2 linked regions of the Arabidopsis thaliana genome follow. The protein of the gene in region 2 interacts with the protein of the main gene of each other region in a biochemical or structural test. Each region holds a gene or a part of one and is shown on either strand. Other genes may lie near its edges.

Region 1 (8,323 bases), on a different chromosome or scaffold from region 2:
GACACAGAGAGACCGTCCTTTGATTTTTTGATAATGGGCCTTTAAATAAGGCTTTCTCTTCCAAACTAATTCGCATATTTCTATTCCCAAACAATTATAAAATTAATAAACCCGAAATAATTTTTAAAAAATCATCACGCAATTCAAAAAATGTTTTCCTTAAAAAAATTGTAGTGTAAACTGAAATTTATCAGCATTATTATGCACTCATTTCCTTATGAATAAAATCAGTAAAAGAAATTTAGAGTTAAAAGACACACATTCACATATCTATGTTTGAACATTATTTAGCTCGTTGACTAGCTTGAAGAAAAAGAGACAACGACCCACGTTTATGTCTTTAATCTTTATAACAGGAGATACATCAAACCGGAGGGAGAAGAAGTTGTTTGAGTCTTAACAAGAGTGTGTGAGTAACATAAATACAAGGAGATCGAGTAATTAGTGTGAGCATCATCTTAAGAGATTATTAGTGTTGTAAAGTGTTCAGAGTTAAGTTTACTAATGAATGAATGATACTTGAGGAGCAAGGATTGCTGAAATCGTCGGAGAAGATGAACAGACGGGAGAAACGATGAAGAGATCGCGAGCAGAATTAGGGTTTTAGAAGTCGTCGCTCTAGAAGATGAACAAATAGAGACAAGGGTCCCAGAAGGACATAAGCGGCTAGACAGTGCAGCGACGGAGGCGACGACTGCGCAGCTAGGGTTGGTTTTGAAATCGTAGGGATTTATATTGGGTTTCTTCTAGTCTCTTAATTCATATTTTTATTCACTTATTTTGTTTTTAACTGTTTCCAAAATAATTCAAAATTGGTATTGTTGTAAATAATTTGGAAAAGAAAGGGTTATATGTATTTTATCCAAACAAAATAAGTAAGATAATTCGTTAATTATCATTTCTTTTTCTTTTTTCGAGAAGAAAACTAATTATCGTATATAATTATCATTTGAACCCCCTATATAGCAATCATCTCTTTCTTTTCATCGTCTCTTCATTTTTCTCCTCGTAGACGGAGACATCACCGATGTGACTCGAGGGGTTGATGATTAAAAATAATGGTTACGAACCAAAACTGATAGTAAAGAAGACGTTATCCGAATCGGATCTTGCTTCTACTCTCTTTTCCACGACAATTCCGATTACGTCGACCCTCATCCAGGCCCCGTCGACTCCTCTCTGGACGAAACCGATGCCATTGTCAAACATTTCGACGCCTGATGATTCCTGACATTGAAGCTTTATCGCGTGGACTTTTTCTCGTTGTTGTGCCATGCAAGTACAGTAAAACCTTTATAAATTAATATTCGATAAATTAATCATTTTTATAAAATAATAAATTCTTTCAGTATTTGGGACTAGTGTAAAAAGCGATACAAATCGATAAATTAATAAAATATTTTTTTTTTGAAAATCCTATGTAAACATATAGTCCCATCAATATCATAAATTAATAATTGTATTAAAATATCAGCTATATATATATATAAGAAATTTCAATGAAATATAATTCTAGTATCGTTTATTTTTGTAATTTAATTTAATATTTTTATTATATCAAAAAAATTCTTGTTGTTTTCAAGATATGATAATTATTTGTAATTGATTATAAAAAAATATTTTAATCATCAAAAAAAATCTTATATTTTTATAGAAATTAAAAAAATCTTACCGTAGTATTCAGTCATTTAGTTACTATTTTTCATTGGGGTTTTTAGACCAATGATTTGTTACTTTTATTTCCAACTGCATTTGTTTCATATAAAAACGTCGTGTATCGAGATTTCCTTTCTTTTCTTTATAAAGAAATATAAATTGGCCGTTATCTTTTTCCTCAAACTAAACAACTCAGATGAAACAAATTCAAAGACTAAACAAATATGTATATTTTATTCATAGCCAATTGAAATAATATCAGCATTATATGTTTATGCAATCATATCCTTTTGAGTATAACCAAAAGGAAACAAAGAGTTAAAAGACACATTCACACATCTACATGTTAGGCTTTATAACAGCACATTATTTTGATCATTTGCAACCATTTTTTCCCAAACTTGTAGTAATCTGATCAGATGAATCTTGAATACCTTCCAGATTCTTCCCTTCTGATGCCAACGAGCAAGACTGCGAAACGAAAAACACACTCGAAGAAGAAGAAGATTCAGCAGTCGAAAACAACTCCCTTTCATCGAATCCCCTAGATTTCTTCATGTCTCTCTCTTCTTCTTCCTCAGGTTTCACTCTCTTTGACCCGTTGTAACGAACAGCCGAAGGTACTTGTTGGTCATTAGAAGACACAGATGGGCAAAGACCAGGTTCTTTAATGGTATTAGCCCCTAAGGCCTCGAAGCTATCTGCTACAATCTCATCAGGTGCTGCTCCGATCATGATCTGTGCTTCACGGGTTCTTGAAATAGCTTTAGCTAGTAGCTCACGAGCTGTGTCGATGTCTACAATGGGTTTCGCATAGTTTGTTCCGAGTTCCACACCAGAAGCTTTGAGTACGGTTAAAGGAGCGTCCCATGGATGATGGATCCATTCAGTTGGCAATCTCGCAAGCTCGGGAAGCCATTGCCTTATGTACTCACCTTCTGGGTCATATTTGGCGCCTTGTAACTGAAATAAAAACAGAGTTTTCATAGACTTCAGAACTAAATCAACCAAACCAAATAAGCTGAAAAATAAAATAAAAAACGAATGCATAGCAAAAACTGGTATTAAGCTTTGAATTCTAAACTATAAGACAAGTTTTGTAGTTTACCGCGGGATTGTCCAAGCGATCAAGCTCGTGGCCATCGGGGATACTCCCAGAGATATACTGCCAGCCAAGGATGTCACATTCCAAATCAGCATCCAAAAGTGTATCCCAGAAATACTTCATTCCCCATTTCCATGGAAGGAGAAGAAACTTCACAGCAAAGCTTGAAACAATCACTCTTATTCTGTTATGCATCCATCCGGTAGCCCAAAGCTCTCTCATTCCGGCATCCACCAACGGATAACCGGTCCTGCCTTGTCTCCAGGCCTTGAACTTATCAACATCAGCATCCCAAGGGAAAAACCGAAGATGACTCAACAACGATTGCTCGTGAGTAAACGGGAAGTTGAAACATATATACCGAGAATACTCTCTTAAACCGATTCCCCTAAGAAAAAGATCTGCACTTTCTTCTCCTTCACTGTTCTTATCTCTTGCCCATATAATTTGTTTCATCCGGGCACACTGGAAAACGTGTCTGACGCTTATTTCCCCGAAATGGAGATACGGAGAAAGTAGTGAAGTAGAATTCCCAACAACTTTCTTGCTGTTCTTTGCATAATCTATCAACTGCTTCTCGATGAACTCATTTAGTAACTTATCAGCATTGCTCCATCCTGGAGACCAAGCTCTAGTTAACAACGCATTGCTCGGTTTCTCGGCCTCATTCTCCAGCCCTAGTTCTTCAATCGAACACGCCCAAATCGCTTCAGCCGCTAACAAAGAAAAAGCCATAAACTTTTACTACCGCTTATGTCCTGAAGAAATCAAAAACGTTTTAGCTTTTAAGTAATACTCTTTAAGGTTTTACCTGCAGTTATTGGCATCAACCGCCAAGGAGGAGGAAGCATAACGGATTCAATCGACATATCTAAGCATTTCTTCCAGTAAGAATTGAAACTCGTAAAAGGTTTGCCCTTTTCGCAGTATATCTCCCACGGTTCATACAATAGATCTCCATTGTAGCTTTGCACAGAGATCCCACGTTCCACCAGCTTCTCCTTTACGGTATGGTCCCGAACTAACGAAACAGGATCTACAACAAAGAAAAACGTGATCGCATCAACCTCAGTTGCACTTAGACTACACTAACTTAATAAGAATATATATCCTTTGAATAAGAGATGAAAGAGTATATACCATAGAGGTGGTTAAAGACGACTTTTGTAGCACCGGTAACGCGGATACAATCCAAGATCGCTGAAATCGTGTTGTGGGTTTTGATTAAAGTGAGGTCAGATCCAAGAGCCTTCAAGGATTGAGATAAGTGAGCAAGTGATTGTTTCATCCACCATCTTGAAGCTCTTCCAGGATAAAACTGTCCTTCTTCTTCAGGACACCAAATGAAGACAGGAAAAACAGATCCTTCGTGAGCAGCTGCTGCTAATGCAGGATTATCCTCAATCCTTAGGTCTCTTCTAAACCAAACTATAGTCTTTTTGTCCATCTTCATAGTTATTATGATCACAGATGAATCAAAGATCAAATCAGCTAAAATTCCACACTCTAACCAAGTTGTTCCATGATTTCAGACCTCAACCTCCTCCAGAGAATAGTTCTATAACAATAACAGAGAATGATTGATAAGAAATCTGTAATCTTTGAGTCCTAAAATCCAAAATAATCTACAAAAAAACATAACAGAGAGAGATTCGATTTAATCCTAATCCTTTTAAACAGAGCAAGCAAGAGAAATTCAATTGAGAGAAACAAAAATCAAAAGCTGGAAACTTTTTACCAGAACTCAAATCAGAGTGGATATCTCTCGGCGACAAAGATCTTCGAATCAAAGACTGTGAAAGTTATTTTAGTGACTTGACTCTTCTTTCTTCCTATTTTGGGTATGCAAAGTTAAAGATTTGAGATCTAACGGAGACCAAAAACAATACCCATATGAGAGTATGAATGTTAATAATTGTGCAATATAATAATCACAACGAGACAAAAGTAGACAACTTTATCCACAACTAGTGGCGTGTGTTCTTATAATAGCGTTTTTTTTACCGACATCTCATCTTTGATTTGCTCATCTACGATTTTATCGGGATCATGTACGAACTTTCTCTTGTGAGATATTTTTTTATAAGAGATCGAATTTTGTTTGAATGTTGAGTGGGCCTAAAGCGCAGTGAAGATACTCTTATCTTCTTATGCTAGAGAAAAAAGTTTTTTAACGTTGGGGCCGAGGACGGTGGTTCATGAACTCGATTCTGGTCATGCCCACTTTTGTAGAATCCATTAAATATCTAAAGTCTATATGGCTTAAAGGTGAGAACTTGATTCTCATTAGTCATTACCAAGTAGAATCTATAATCAAAATCCACTGCTTTTACTTTACAAAAGGAAAAAGGTAAAGATAAAAAAGTTCTCTCAAACTTTGAATCCTCGTATACCCCTTATTAATGGACCATTGCCTACGGTTTATGATTCGATTTCGGATAGTCGTAAAATAGAAGCAATCTAAGTTTTTTGGATGTATATTTTGGTGTCAACTTGGTGTTTGGTTATAAAATATTTGGGTGAAGAAAAATAGAAGTAAAATTAAAATAATCCACATTAGAATTTCAGTTTAATCTAGTGATTTGGTTTTGGTATGAATCTGCAAGAGTAGCATTTCTTTTTGCAATTGCAACACAATAACACCATTCCTCACAAATCACAATTGCACAAACCCATTATCGAAGAGCTCATCAATTTTGGGCTAATTGCTAAAGCAGAAAAAAATAATCGCAAAAGATAACCATGCAACTGCCAATTTTCTTCTTTTCATGGGTAAACCAAATCAGACACATTGAAAAAAACGATATCCTGGTTTAGAAACAGACCAGGGACAATACTCATCAAAGAGACCAAAGAGGTTATAAAACAGTGTTTGGAGATCTTTCAAACACACTTCTTATTCGGACAAAGCCCTGAAAGGCTTTAACTGATCTCACACCTTATAGATGAAAATTTTGCTCCAGAAGGGTTTAAGAGAGGCATGAGTACGCCAAGTCCTTCTCTTCCTTGAGCTCCTCTGCAGTCAAATCCATCTTCTTCCTTGATACTTCATCAATCGGAAGGCCTAACCAAACAAAATACACATTAGGGTCTGCAGAATCTAGGATTTCATAATTGATGAGCATTTGAGTTTGTAAGTGCGTCATATTTACCTTGGACAATACTCCAGTCTCCATTGCGACAAGTTACAGGGAAGGAGTAGATAAGTCCTGATGGAACGCTGTAAGAGCCATCGGAGTATACTCCCATGGAAACGAACGTACCCTGACAATTTGAATCAAAGAAAGAACTCATATTAGATTAACTGTTACAAAAAAACAGCACTGCAAATAACGGGGAAGAGTTTTATTATGAACCTCTGGAGTTCCAAGGACCCAGTCACGGATGTGGTCACAAGCAGAGCTAGCAGCAGAGAGCGCACTAGACAACTTCCTCGCCTTGATGATTGCAGCTCCACGTTGTTGAACTGTAGAGATAAATTCTCCGTCCAACCTACAGAATGAGCAATATATTTAAGTGAAACTAGATTTTGCTTCCAGAGAAGAGAAAGGGTCTTAAGTTCTATGGCATGTTATACATACCATGCATCGTCCTTGACGAGCTCACGGACAGGCTTCTCTCCAGACGAGGTCTGCACTTTAGCATGGTTGACATCTGGGTACTGTGAGGATGAGTGGTTTCCCCAGATGATCACGTTCTTAACATCAGACACTGGCACGCTCAACCTCTCAGAGATCTGTCCCAAAGCCCTGTTGTGGTCAAGCCTTGTCAAACAAGAGATGTTCTTTTCAGGGATTGATGGTGCAAATTCCTTGAGGATCAATGCGTTGGTGTTTGCCGGGTTGGCCACAACAAGAACCTGAAAAAAAAAAGACAAAACGAGAGCGAATGTGTGAGCAAGAGAGTCGTAAACTAGAACCCAATAGAGAACACAAAGCATCTGTTACACTCCAATGAACAGAGAAGATTGGATGCAGTGGCTTCATTTAACTTAAAAAGCAAACAGATCGTATCACCTTGCAGTTAGGAGCGGCATGCTTCTCCAAGGCAGCAGCCTGAGACTTGTAGATGGAAACATTCTTGGACATCACATCCTTCCTCTCCATACCTTCTTTCCTCGGGAAACCACCAACCATAACAGCAACATTGACTCCAGTACATCCCTCAACGGCATCAGTTGTAGCAACAACACCTGATAATAATACACATCAAATATTCATCTTCTCCTTTCCCACTTATACAAAACAACTTATGACACGGAATGCAAATATCCACAGCAAAACAAAACCCTTAACTACCTTTAAGAAGAGGGAAAGCAGCATCGATCAACTCCATCTTAACACCGTTCAAAGCTTCAGCAGCTGGAGGAATATCCAACATGTGGAGGATAACAGGTTGGTCAGCACCAAGCATGATACCCCTTGCAATCATAGGTACAAGAGCATATCCGATTTGTCCTGCATAATCACAATCAATAGTTACTTTCAGTAGCTGAGGAGATCTAAAGTCACAACTTAAACTCTATCCAACTATATAAACAACGGTTTCTAAATCAGAGTTCGATCCATGAAATAACTTTTACTAAAATTAGATATGCGACCAACTCAATCAATCGTTGGTCAGCGTTGAATCCAACGGAACAAGAGTTGACCTATATTTCATTGATCTATGGAACAACCAGATACTATGCAGAGATCTGACTAGATTCAGCAAGCGATTCACTAGCCAGAGATCTAGAAGTTACACGATCTAATCGGATATAGATGAAAGTTATACCTGCAGCTCCAGTAACGAGCACACGAACTGGTTCTTTCGCCATCGGATCTAGATCGGAGATTATCGCCGGAAAACGGATCGAATTTGGGATATTCGACTTTTGAGAGAGCGTAGAGTCAGCTTTTGTCTGACCGTGAAGCTCACTCTTGCGTATTTATCGAAGATATCGAAGGATGTACCGCCACGTCATCTAATATAATCATATTATCTCGAAGAAATAAATCGAAATCTGAGATTAGACCTATCATATTAGGAAAACAAGATATTATTCAATATATATTTTTGACTCTAATGGGCCTCTTACATTAGGCCCAAATCGTTTAGCCCAGAGTATTCAAATACGTGAATCAAAACAGTAGATAATGGTGGCGATAAGGCGAGAAGAACCACGTCCACGACAACCTCCGGTATGGCGTCATCTTACGTCACCTACTCAACGGTCACTCCGGTGGTCAGCAGCAGTAACATTCGAGGAGTCTTTCGTTTGGCATTCACGCGCCGCCGTGTTACTCTATCGCCGAATGCTCGGAGGAGAATATTGAGAGTTTCGGCGAAAGCGTCGACGAAGAATGCTATGGAGTATAGGAAATTAGGAGATTCCGATCTCAACATCAGCGAAGTTACTATGGGCACTGTAAGAACAATCTCTCTTTATCTCCTGCAATTGTAGTCCATTGTTCAATTTTGAAGTTTTGATGAAATTTGGAATTTCAGATGACATTTGGGGAGCAAAATACTGAGAAAGAATCTCATGAGATGCTGAGTTATGCAATTGAAGAGGGCATC
Region 2 (8,953 bases):
AAGAATCGTTGGAGCAACGTGAGTTCATCAGATTTGATGTTTTTGAATTCCGAGATGGTTAATTCGATTTCTAGCGAGAGATTTTCTTCATTGGATCATGTGAAGAGAGGAGATGAAGAGGATCAGATAGGTATCTTGCGAATCAAGGAAGAGATGGAAGCGAAGAGAATGTTGGAGAACAAGTTAACTTCGATGACAACTATGTTTTCCTCGGAAAACGGAGACTCTGGTTCGAAATCAAGAAGCGTTATGATCGAACCAGGACGAAGATCGGTGTCTGACATCACTGCGGTTCCTAGACTCAGTATATCGATTCATGGAGATTGCAGCGGTTCAGCCGCAGAGACTGCGTCTGCGTTACAAAACGGTGGGAATGAGACGGAGGAGAGAAGACGGCGTTTGTGGCTGCCGATCGCTAGAAAAACTGCTCAATGGTTTGCTAACAGAGAAAAAAGAAGTCAAATTAACACAACACACCAACACTTTGATGTTTAGTTTCTTTATTTTTCTTAAAAATTTGCAATTCTTTTTCAGATTCAATTTGAGACTATTTTCCCATAATTAGTAGATACAAGTTTTGATTTTAAGTTATGTTCAGAGAATTCTACTAATGTTAATACTTAATACATGTTAGTTGGATCAAACGAAGCTGATTTGTGTAAATAAGATAGATTTATGTATAAACAAAGCTTTGACTTATAATATATGAATTGATTGAATTATTGCTGGATTTAATTTTAAAAAGAGCTCAATAATTGTTTTCAATAAGGAACATGTCAGCTTACCTGGTTACAGAAGCAACCAGGCTCATTTTCAGTTTCATTGTTATTACTGCAATATTTTTTGTTCAACATGTATTATACACAACTATTACAAATAAAGTAATAACTTGGCTACATGTTATGATTTTGTTATGAATGCATCATATATTATACATTTATAACTTTAAGACTTTAATACACACATAACTCACTCACACATACTGTATATGATATATGAATTATTGCTTCTAACTCTATTTATTTAGTTTTCCTTTTCATTCAAAATAAAACACAACTACTCTTGGTTTTGTCTCTTGACAATTGTATTCTTTTATTTGGACGAACATTATTACTAAATCATGTAATTGATTACAAAAATACATATAAGTAGGTCAACTAACTACTAATAATAATATTTTAATTTCATAACAAACACTACATTAGCCAATTTGATTATTAATATACAATTTTATATTCAAGACCTAGCAATTTCCTTTTGATTATCTTACTTTCTTTTTCCAGTTACCAATTATGAAATTATATGCCCAATCATATAAGATATATTTATAATTATCTGATGTGGGATTCTGACTCCTCTGATTTTTTCTTTGTAATATATTTATATGCCACTAAACTTAAAATAGATGTATATTTTGTCCTTCATATAAGCATATAACAGTCTTAAAAATAAGTGGAACACCTTCTTCTTTTTCATGTCTTATTTTGGAACCTCTTTCTTAACTTTGTAACGAAGGACACCACGATGGAACCTGGGCTGCTTCGAGTGCAGGTGCAGCACCGTAGATGAAACTTTTTAAGTTTGTATGATGTAAAAACAAAATGGGAAACGATTCAAAGAACATGTTATAATGCGAAATAGGTAGATGAGGCCAAAGATTGTTGTTATGTAAAAAGCAAGTCATTGCATCATCATACTTATCATGTGGTCCAACTTATGCCGATTACGAATGGAAGTTAAATTTAAAATAAATTATTAAATAGAACCTAACGAAACTATTTTATATTATAGGTGTATTAGGTTGAATATGGACCTGTTTTAGAATAACGCCCCTTTCTTTCTAGTAGAGTTCAGTCTTCTTTGGAGTTGGTATCGGATCAAATTTTCGTTTAAAAACAATAATGATGTAGCTTAATTCAAATTGTAGTAAATTACTTTCAATTTAATTTTTGTTTTGGTTTTCAATTACTTAGGTTCCGTCTGGATTTGATTTCAATTTTCACAATATATAAAGATAACAGAAATATTTAAAAGCAAATATTGAAGAGTATATGATACTAATTACTAAACACTATGAAGAAATTTAAGACAAACTTACTTTAGTTTACACAAATTGGATTTTCCCTTATGGCCTAAGATAGGTTTCCATTACAGCTGTACAAATACAACCTACACCTGGTCACCTGCCTCTTCCATGATGATGATTTCTCCGACCGAGCGCATCAAATCGTTTTTCAACTGGCTTCATGAGCTCTCAAACATTTTATTCTCTCCCAGAATAGTTTCTTACTCACTGTCTCCGAGTTATTTGAATCCCATGTTGACTCTCAAAATCTTTCCTCATAAATCAATTGCACAAAAATAAGAATCGAACTTGGGCGTCTGTGAAAGAAACCTGTGCATTGCTAAGCCTTTTGAAGACTCATCTCAGCTCAAGCTTGGCTCTGGATTTCTGCAAAGAATGACGCTATCCATTAACATGTATACATATATCAAGCTGCAGCAAAAGGTCATTGATCACATAGCAAAGAGTAGCTAAAAATGATATGTATGAATCACATAACAAGATTACACATCCGGGTGTAAGAATTATACAAAGGTTGGGGGAAATCTTTGAATGAAAAGCACACATACACTTTCATGTCTTGTGTGTGTAAACACAAATGCTTCAACCAACGCCTTCTTGTCCACACACACTTCAGAGAATTTACATAGAAACCATTGCATCTTTCTTCCAGCCAAAGGTGGAGGAGATACAAAGGTGTTAGTGACACCAAGTTCTGATTTCTGCTGTAGTTTCAGAGGTGAATTAAGGGCACGGAGTCACATTAACAGCGCATCATCTCACTCACCATTTCAGGAAAAAGCTACATTTTCTTTGCATCATTTCTCTGGAGACATGAATGACGAAGTCCAACCAGTTCTATTCCCACTCCCATATCCAGAATTTGAGGTTTCGGGTCCGACATTTCTTTTTGAGGTACCCGCAGGAGATAATGAAGTGGATGGCATGTTCATCTGCAATGGGTTTTCAGTAAAATAACAGTCAAGGGAACTCATCTCGAAGATCAATATATTGTTTCATTAATTCATGACAATTGACAAAGCGATACTGGTAAAATCAGTTTTCAGGGAACCATGAAGTGTTCTGAGAGTAATACTATACATGACATGCTAACACAAGCAACGAGTTTGCAGAATAAAACGGTTCTTTGGAAGAGGCAAATGCAGAAATACGTACATTCTTGTGGACAGGGTGATCAAACCCCGGAGTCCTCCCTGCAGCAGTATTATTATTTATCTGTGGGCTTGGACCAATGGCATTAGCCGATCTGACGCGTTCAGAGGCCTCGGCTTCATAAGAAATATTTGGTCCTCCTGCCAAACAGAGCGTCAGAAAACAGAGATTTCAAAATAAACAATTGCAACAACAAGCTATTAATTAGAGCTAACCCCGATGATTGCTTGTGTCCACTGGCATTGCACGAGGATTGCTAGACCCAGGAACTGCCTGCAGTAGAAATGACAATACTTTTTGTTAGTAACAAGAAAGGTGACACAGCAGCAAATTAAGATTGAGAAAACATTGAAAACTATACCTGAGACTGATTTCTAGATTTCTGTGCTTGTTGATACTTTATGATAGTCCAGTCAAATATATAGTCGAACTCATATCCTGCAAAAGAGAACATATAATAGTGAGGTAGGTAGATGATGCCGGTGAACCTTATCAGCTGAGTGAACTATGAATGATGAAGAGATGTCTTTATCCAAAGTACCTACCTTCCCGCGAAAATAAATCACGAAAAAGCCGCTTCAAGAATCCATAATCTGGGCGCTGATCAAATGTCAGTGTATGGCAGTAATGAAAATATGATGCAAACTCCACAGGGTGATTTTTGCATAGCACCTGCAATGGGATATCGATATATACTTAGTCGAATGAGGATTAACAAAAAAAGAATCAATCACACAATAGGGAAACATACCTCAATGGGAGTTGATATCTTCTTCTCACAGATTTTATCATACTTTTGCTTCTTGTCAACAGCCTTAAGACCCTGCCATGGAAGACTAGAAAAGGACGTTCATGAAATGAGGAACACAAAAAACAGTTAAGTAAATCTCTAAAAACAAGGAATAGAAATACCCTGCGAAATAACATAATGTTAACTAGTTTCTTTCAAAAAGACAACACACCTTCCTCTTAGGAAATACAGAAGCACATATCCCAGCGATTCTAGATCATCCCGTCGACTTTGCTCTGTGAAGAGAACCCAAAATATGAGCAAAAGCGATTTACTTTTACATAAGGATAAAGAATGCCAGCATTTCTTACCAATTCCAAGATGTGTATTGCAACTTGCATATCGTGCAGTTCCTGTTAAATTCTTGTTTTCCCTGAATATAGCCGAATAAAGGAAATAAGTTGTATAATGATTAACGTGACCGTAAAACTTAAAAACAGATAGATCATTTACAATCTGTATATTGAACCAAGGCCACAATACCTGTAAGGGATGTGGCGGTTGGTGTTGGCATCCCGATATCTTTTGGCAAGTCCAAAGTCAATTAGATAAACCTGAAAAATGAGACTTATCAATCATACCATACTCTACTTATGGCATCTGATGAAGATAAGAAGTTGCAGAAATATACCTGATTTGCTTTCCGACCTAGGCCCATGAGGAAGTTATCGGGTTTAATATCTCTATGCAGATATCCTTTCGAATGTACAAATTCTATTCTTGTTAGCTGTAACAGCGGGATAAGAAAATCGGAAGCACATTAGATAATCAATGTATAAGTCAACAGATATTATAAATAGCCTAATGAATAGTTGAAAGTCATGCCATACCATTTGATCAGCCAACATCAAGACTGTCTTTGGTGAGAATTTCCTCCCACAGTAGACGAAAAGATCTTCGAGACTTGGACCGAGCAAATCCATCACTAAAGCATTCTCTGTTCCATCAACTCCAAACCATTTTATGCGCGGAATTCCACCTGACACATAACATAAAAATTAGTATTGTACTGCTAATGAATCCCTCCAATGTCCAACAACTGAGAAAAGAGAGGAAAGAGAATCATACTTCCTCCTTCAAGAATTCTATATAGCTTAGCTTCATAGAGAAGTTGAGGATGCTTTGTTTTACTGTTCTCCTGCAAGAGAAAATGATTGAATTAAAAACAAGTGTTAGCTTGAAGAATATATTGCAGCTAAAAAGCACCGAGTTTAAAACCTTGCTCAATTTTAGAGTAAAGCAATTCAAACAAAATCAATTAAGAGACATAGCAGATCCAAATCAAATCTCCAGATTGGATGGATTCAATTCGTCTCAAGGCAAATTGAGCTGGGACTTACGATCTTAACAGCTACGATCTCGAAGGTATCGACGTGCGTAGCTGCGAAAACAACAAACAGAAGAGAAGAGCGTCAATTTCAAATAAAAAAGCAAACTCGGAAAACCAAAGGGACAAGAACAGAGGAGAACACAAAACCTAGAAAAATCTCTCCGAACGAACCACCGCCGATCTTCCGTCCGAGCTTGTACTTGCCGCCGATGATGCGTTCCATGGCAGCTCCAATCAGAACCGAATCTGGATCAAGCGCAAGGATAGAGATAAGGATTTAGGGTTGTTGTTTAGAAGATTGAAATTAGAGGAACTTAAAAACATATATTATTATTTTTGTTTGACTGACATCGGTGGTAGTGACATGGACCCAGGCTTGTTTGAGCCGTAGTAGTGATCCTTCAAAAAAAAATTTGTACACCTAACTACTGCACCATTTTGGGTCCGCCAATCTTTTTTTACCTTATAAACAAACACGAGGGTATTTACGTGATTTTGTAATGTCACGCTGGCACGGTGGATGATTTGATGATTTCCGTTTTTGGGGTCTGCAAAATGATGAAGGTTCGAAAATTTAATGGGTTGGCTGATTTTCGAGTCATAAACTATTTCGATTCTTAGTTTTCACTCCCGGATTTTTGGGCCCTTAAATTTCCACCATCAATTTTCATATTCCTCAAAATTACATCATCTACTTTCGAATTCATGATTAAACATACATTTTCAATTGAACCATTCATTTAACCGGGATTAACCACAAATCCGCGTTTACTGTACCGCGATTGTGATTAACCCGACTAATACCCAGACCCGTTAAGAAAACGACGTCGTTTTCATTCTTCTTCTTTAACTCTCAAATCGATTTGGTAGTCCTCTTCTTTTGACTTTCATCTCTGTCTCCATCGTCTTCTAGATTGACGTCTCCATCAGACGCTATGTCACCATCGTCTTCTCTATTTTCCTCTCCATCAGAAGCTCTGTCTCCATCTATCCCGACGTCCTCTCCCTCGATTCTGGTGGCTTCGTCCTCCTCGACTCCGCTATCACCACTATCACTTCCATCGTCGGCTTCAATGTCACTCTCTGGAGGTTCGAAATCGGGGTCATCTGGATCGCTTTGGTAAATCAATCTTTCCTCCCACCAATTCTTCATTTCTCCCTATTCGAAACCCAAATCGAGACCCAAAAATTCGAACCGAAGAAGAAAACCCCAAATCCCCTTTTGTCTTTCTCTCTCAAGAACCCTAATTTCACAGTGTCGAGATTAAAGAAGAACGACTAAATCGATTTGAGAGTTAAAGAAGAAGAATGAAAACGACGTCGTTTTCTTTCTCTTTTTGATGAGTTAAACGAAATGAAAACGACGTCGTTTTCTTAACGGGTCTGGGTATTAGTTGGGTTAATCGCAATCGCGGTACAGTAAACGCGGATTTGTGGTTAATCCCGGTTAAATGAATGGTTCAATTGGAAATGTATGTTTAAGCATGAATCCAAAAATAGATGATGTAATTTTGGGAATATGAAAGTTGATGGTGGAAATTTAAAGGCCCAAAAGTCCGGGTGTGAAAGCTGAGAATCGAAATAGTTTATGGCTCGAAAATCAGCCAACCCAAATTTAATCCACTAACTAGTTCTCTACCAAATCGATCAATTCTAGGTGTTTGTATTTCAATATTGAGACTACAATTTTATACGTTTTTTTTTTTTAATAATAGCAATTGAAAATGCATGTTTGGATCAAGTCAAGCTTTTTGATATAATTTTTTTCAATGCACAAAATCGAGTAAGAAAAATCAAACACAGAATACCATTAAACTGAATAGGAAATTCAGAGAAAAAAAAAGGGGGAAGTGTTTCTCGGAGCATTCCAGAAGCTAGCCATAGCTTATCCTTTTACGTTCTCGTCAGCTGCACATTAGCTTGATGGTGACATGTCCCTGCCACAAGCAACTCTTGACTCAAGCCTTTGAAGGCATCTCTGCTGAAGCTGCTCATGCTTTGCTCTTGATTTTCTGCAAACAATGTTGATGACACAGCAAACCCAGGTTATGCCCCAACACAGGGAACTACGTACAGAAATACGAACAAAGTTTTATAGAAGAAAACTTGGGAGAATGAATCACAAGAACCAAATTACACGCCCGGTTGCAAGATTTTATACAAAGGTTGAAGTCAGTCATTTGTGAGAATCTTGAAGGAAAGCAAACATAATCTTCATGCCTTTTGTCAAACAGTAAGCTGTTCATGGAAAAACTCCATTCAGATCTTCAACCTCAGTCTAGAGCTTTTCACTGCAGAAATCACAGTTTAGACCCAAAGGCACACATAATCTTGCTCAGCAGATCAGATGAATGATATACTCCAACTTTTTTTGCATCATTTCCCCGGTGACATGAATGGTGAAGTCCAACCGCCGGTTTTATTCCCGCTCCCAAACCCAGAATTTGAGGTTTCGGGTCTGACATTTCTTTTTGAGGTACCCGCAGGAGATAATGAAGTGGATGATGGCATGTTCATCTGCAATGGGTTTTCAGTAAAATAATGGTCAAGAGCATATTTCGTGATGATCAGTATCGTGTTTTAATCATTTATGCTATATGTAGTTCATATCACAATATAGAGCTCGTTGATGACAATTGACCATGCAAAACAGGTAAAAGCTTTAAGCAGAGAACCATGCAGAACTCTGAAGCAACACAGATGCAGGCATGAGATGCTAACACAAGGGGGAGGGTTGCAGGATACAACATTTATTTGGAAGAGGCAAATGAATAAGCACGTACATTCTTGTGGACTTGATCAAAACCCAGACTCCTCCCTACAGCGGTATTAATCTGTGGGCTTGGACCACTGGCATTAGCCGGTCTGACACGGTCAGAGACTTGGGCTTCATGTGAAATCTTAGTTCCTCCTGCCAAACGGAGAGTTAGCATCAAGATATTGAAATAAACAGTTGCAACGGGAAACTAAATCAGCCAAACACTCTATGCCAGTTGAGTCCAGTGTGAAAGTCGAGAGAAAACAAAAAACACATCATATACTATTACAAAATTAATCAGAAAGTGACACAATTAAAATTTATAACTCGAGCTGACCTCGATGATTGCTTGTGTCCATTGGTATTGCACGAGCATTACTAGACCCAGGAACGGCCTGCAGCATGACAGTTTATTGTTAGGAAGACAGGCATATCTATATTTAGCACCAAAACTAAAAAATAGCAAAACCAAGTAAAACTTCTCCCCAGGAAATCTTCTCTATGAACAAGACAAAATATGCATACACCTGGAGAAAAAAAAATAACAAATGGTATTGATAAACTATACCTGAGACTGACTTCTAGTTTTCTGTGATTGCTGATACTTTATAATAGTCCAGTCATATATATAGTCAAACTCATATCCTGCAAAGAAGAAAACGTTTAAGTGAGCTAGGTAGATAACTGATGCTAGCAGAGAGGATTATAAAAATGATGGAGGGATGTCTTTCTCAAAGTACCTTCCCGTGAGAATAAATCACGAAAAAGCCGCTTCAAGAATCCATAATCAGGGCGTTGATCAAATGTCAGTGTGTGGCAATAATGAAAATATGAAGC

The links. The genes of interacting proteins can lie anywhere in the genome.
Region 1: the proteins of ckl3 (region 2) and CRY2 form a complex in vitro, tested with the Arabidopsis thaliana proteins (one study listed by BioGRID).

Annotation. Positions count from the first base shown.
Region 1 is NC_003070.9:1,183,688-1,192,010, forward strand, and holds CRY2 (cryptochrome 2), read right to left. Parts: upstream 5,010-8,323; 5' UTR 4,500-5,009; intron 4,387-4,499; exon of another isoform or gene 4,320-4,386; 5' UTR 4,215-4,319; coding exon 3,902-4,214; intron 3,798-3,901; coding exon 3,573-3,797; intron 3,478-3,572; coding exon 2,765-3,477; intron 2,620-2,764; coding exon 2,032-2,619; 3' UTR 1,825-2,031; downstream 1-1,824. Other genes in the region: c-NAD-MDH1 (Lactate/malate dehydrogenase family protein), read right to left, coding at 5,731-5,825, 5,914-6,025, 6,118-6,253, 6,343-6,620, 6,778-6,953, 7,060-7,218, 7,538-7,580; AT1G04420 (NAD(P)-linked oxidoreductase superfamily protein), read left to right, coding at 7,947-8,171, 8,252-8,323.
Region 2 is NC_003075.7:14,247,979-14,256,931, reverse strand, and holds ckl3 (casein kinase I-like 3), read right to left. Parts: upstream 5,798-8,953; 5' UTR 5,582-5,797; coding exon 5,506-5,581; intron 5,410-5,505; coding exon 5,369-5,409; intron 5,167-5,368; coding exon 5,097-5,166; intron 5,008-5,096; coding exon 4,859-5,007; intron 4,756-4,858; coding exon 4,660-4,755; intron 4,583-4,659; coding exon 4,512-4,582; intron 4,402-4,511; coding exon 4,340-4,401; intron 4,265-4,339; coding exon 4,201-4,264; intron 4,075-4,200; coding exon 3,990-4,074; intron 3,911-3,989; coding exon 3,784-3,910; intron 3,677-3,783; coding exon 3,600-3,676; intron 3,512-3,599; coding exon 3,454-3,511; intron 3,379-3,453; coding exon 3,242-3,378; intron 3,019-3,241; coding exon 2,884-3,018; 3' UTR 1,986-2,883; downstream 1-1,985. Other genes in the region: AT4G28890 (RING/U-box superfamily protein), read left to right, coding at 1-495; AT4G28870 (mutator transposase MUDRA protein), read right to left, coding at 6,212-6,511; ckl4 (casein kinase I-like 4), read right to left, coding at 7,735-7,875, 8,142-8,269, 8,454-8,511, 8,685-8,761, 8,857-8,953. UniProt on the Arabidopsis thaliana protein: Protein kinase involved in blue light responses (e.g. hypocotyl elongation and flowering) by phosphorylating CRY2 to reduce its stability.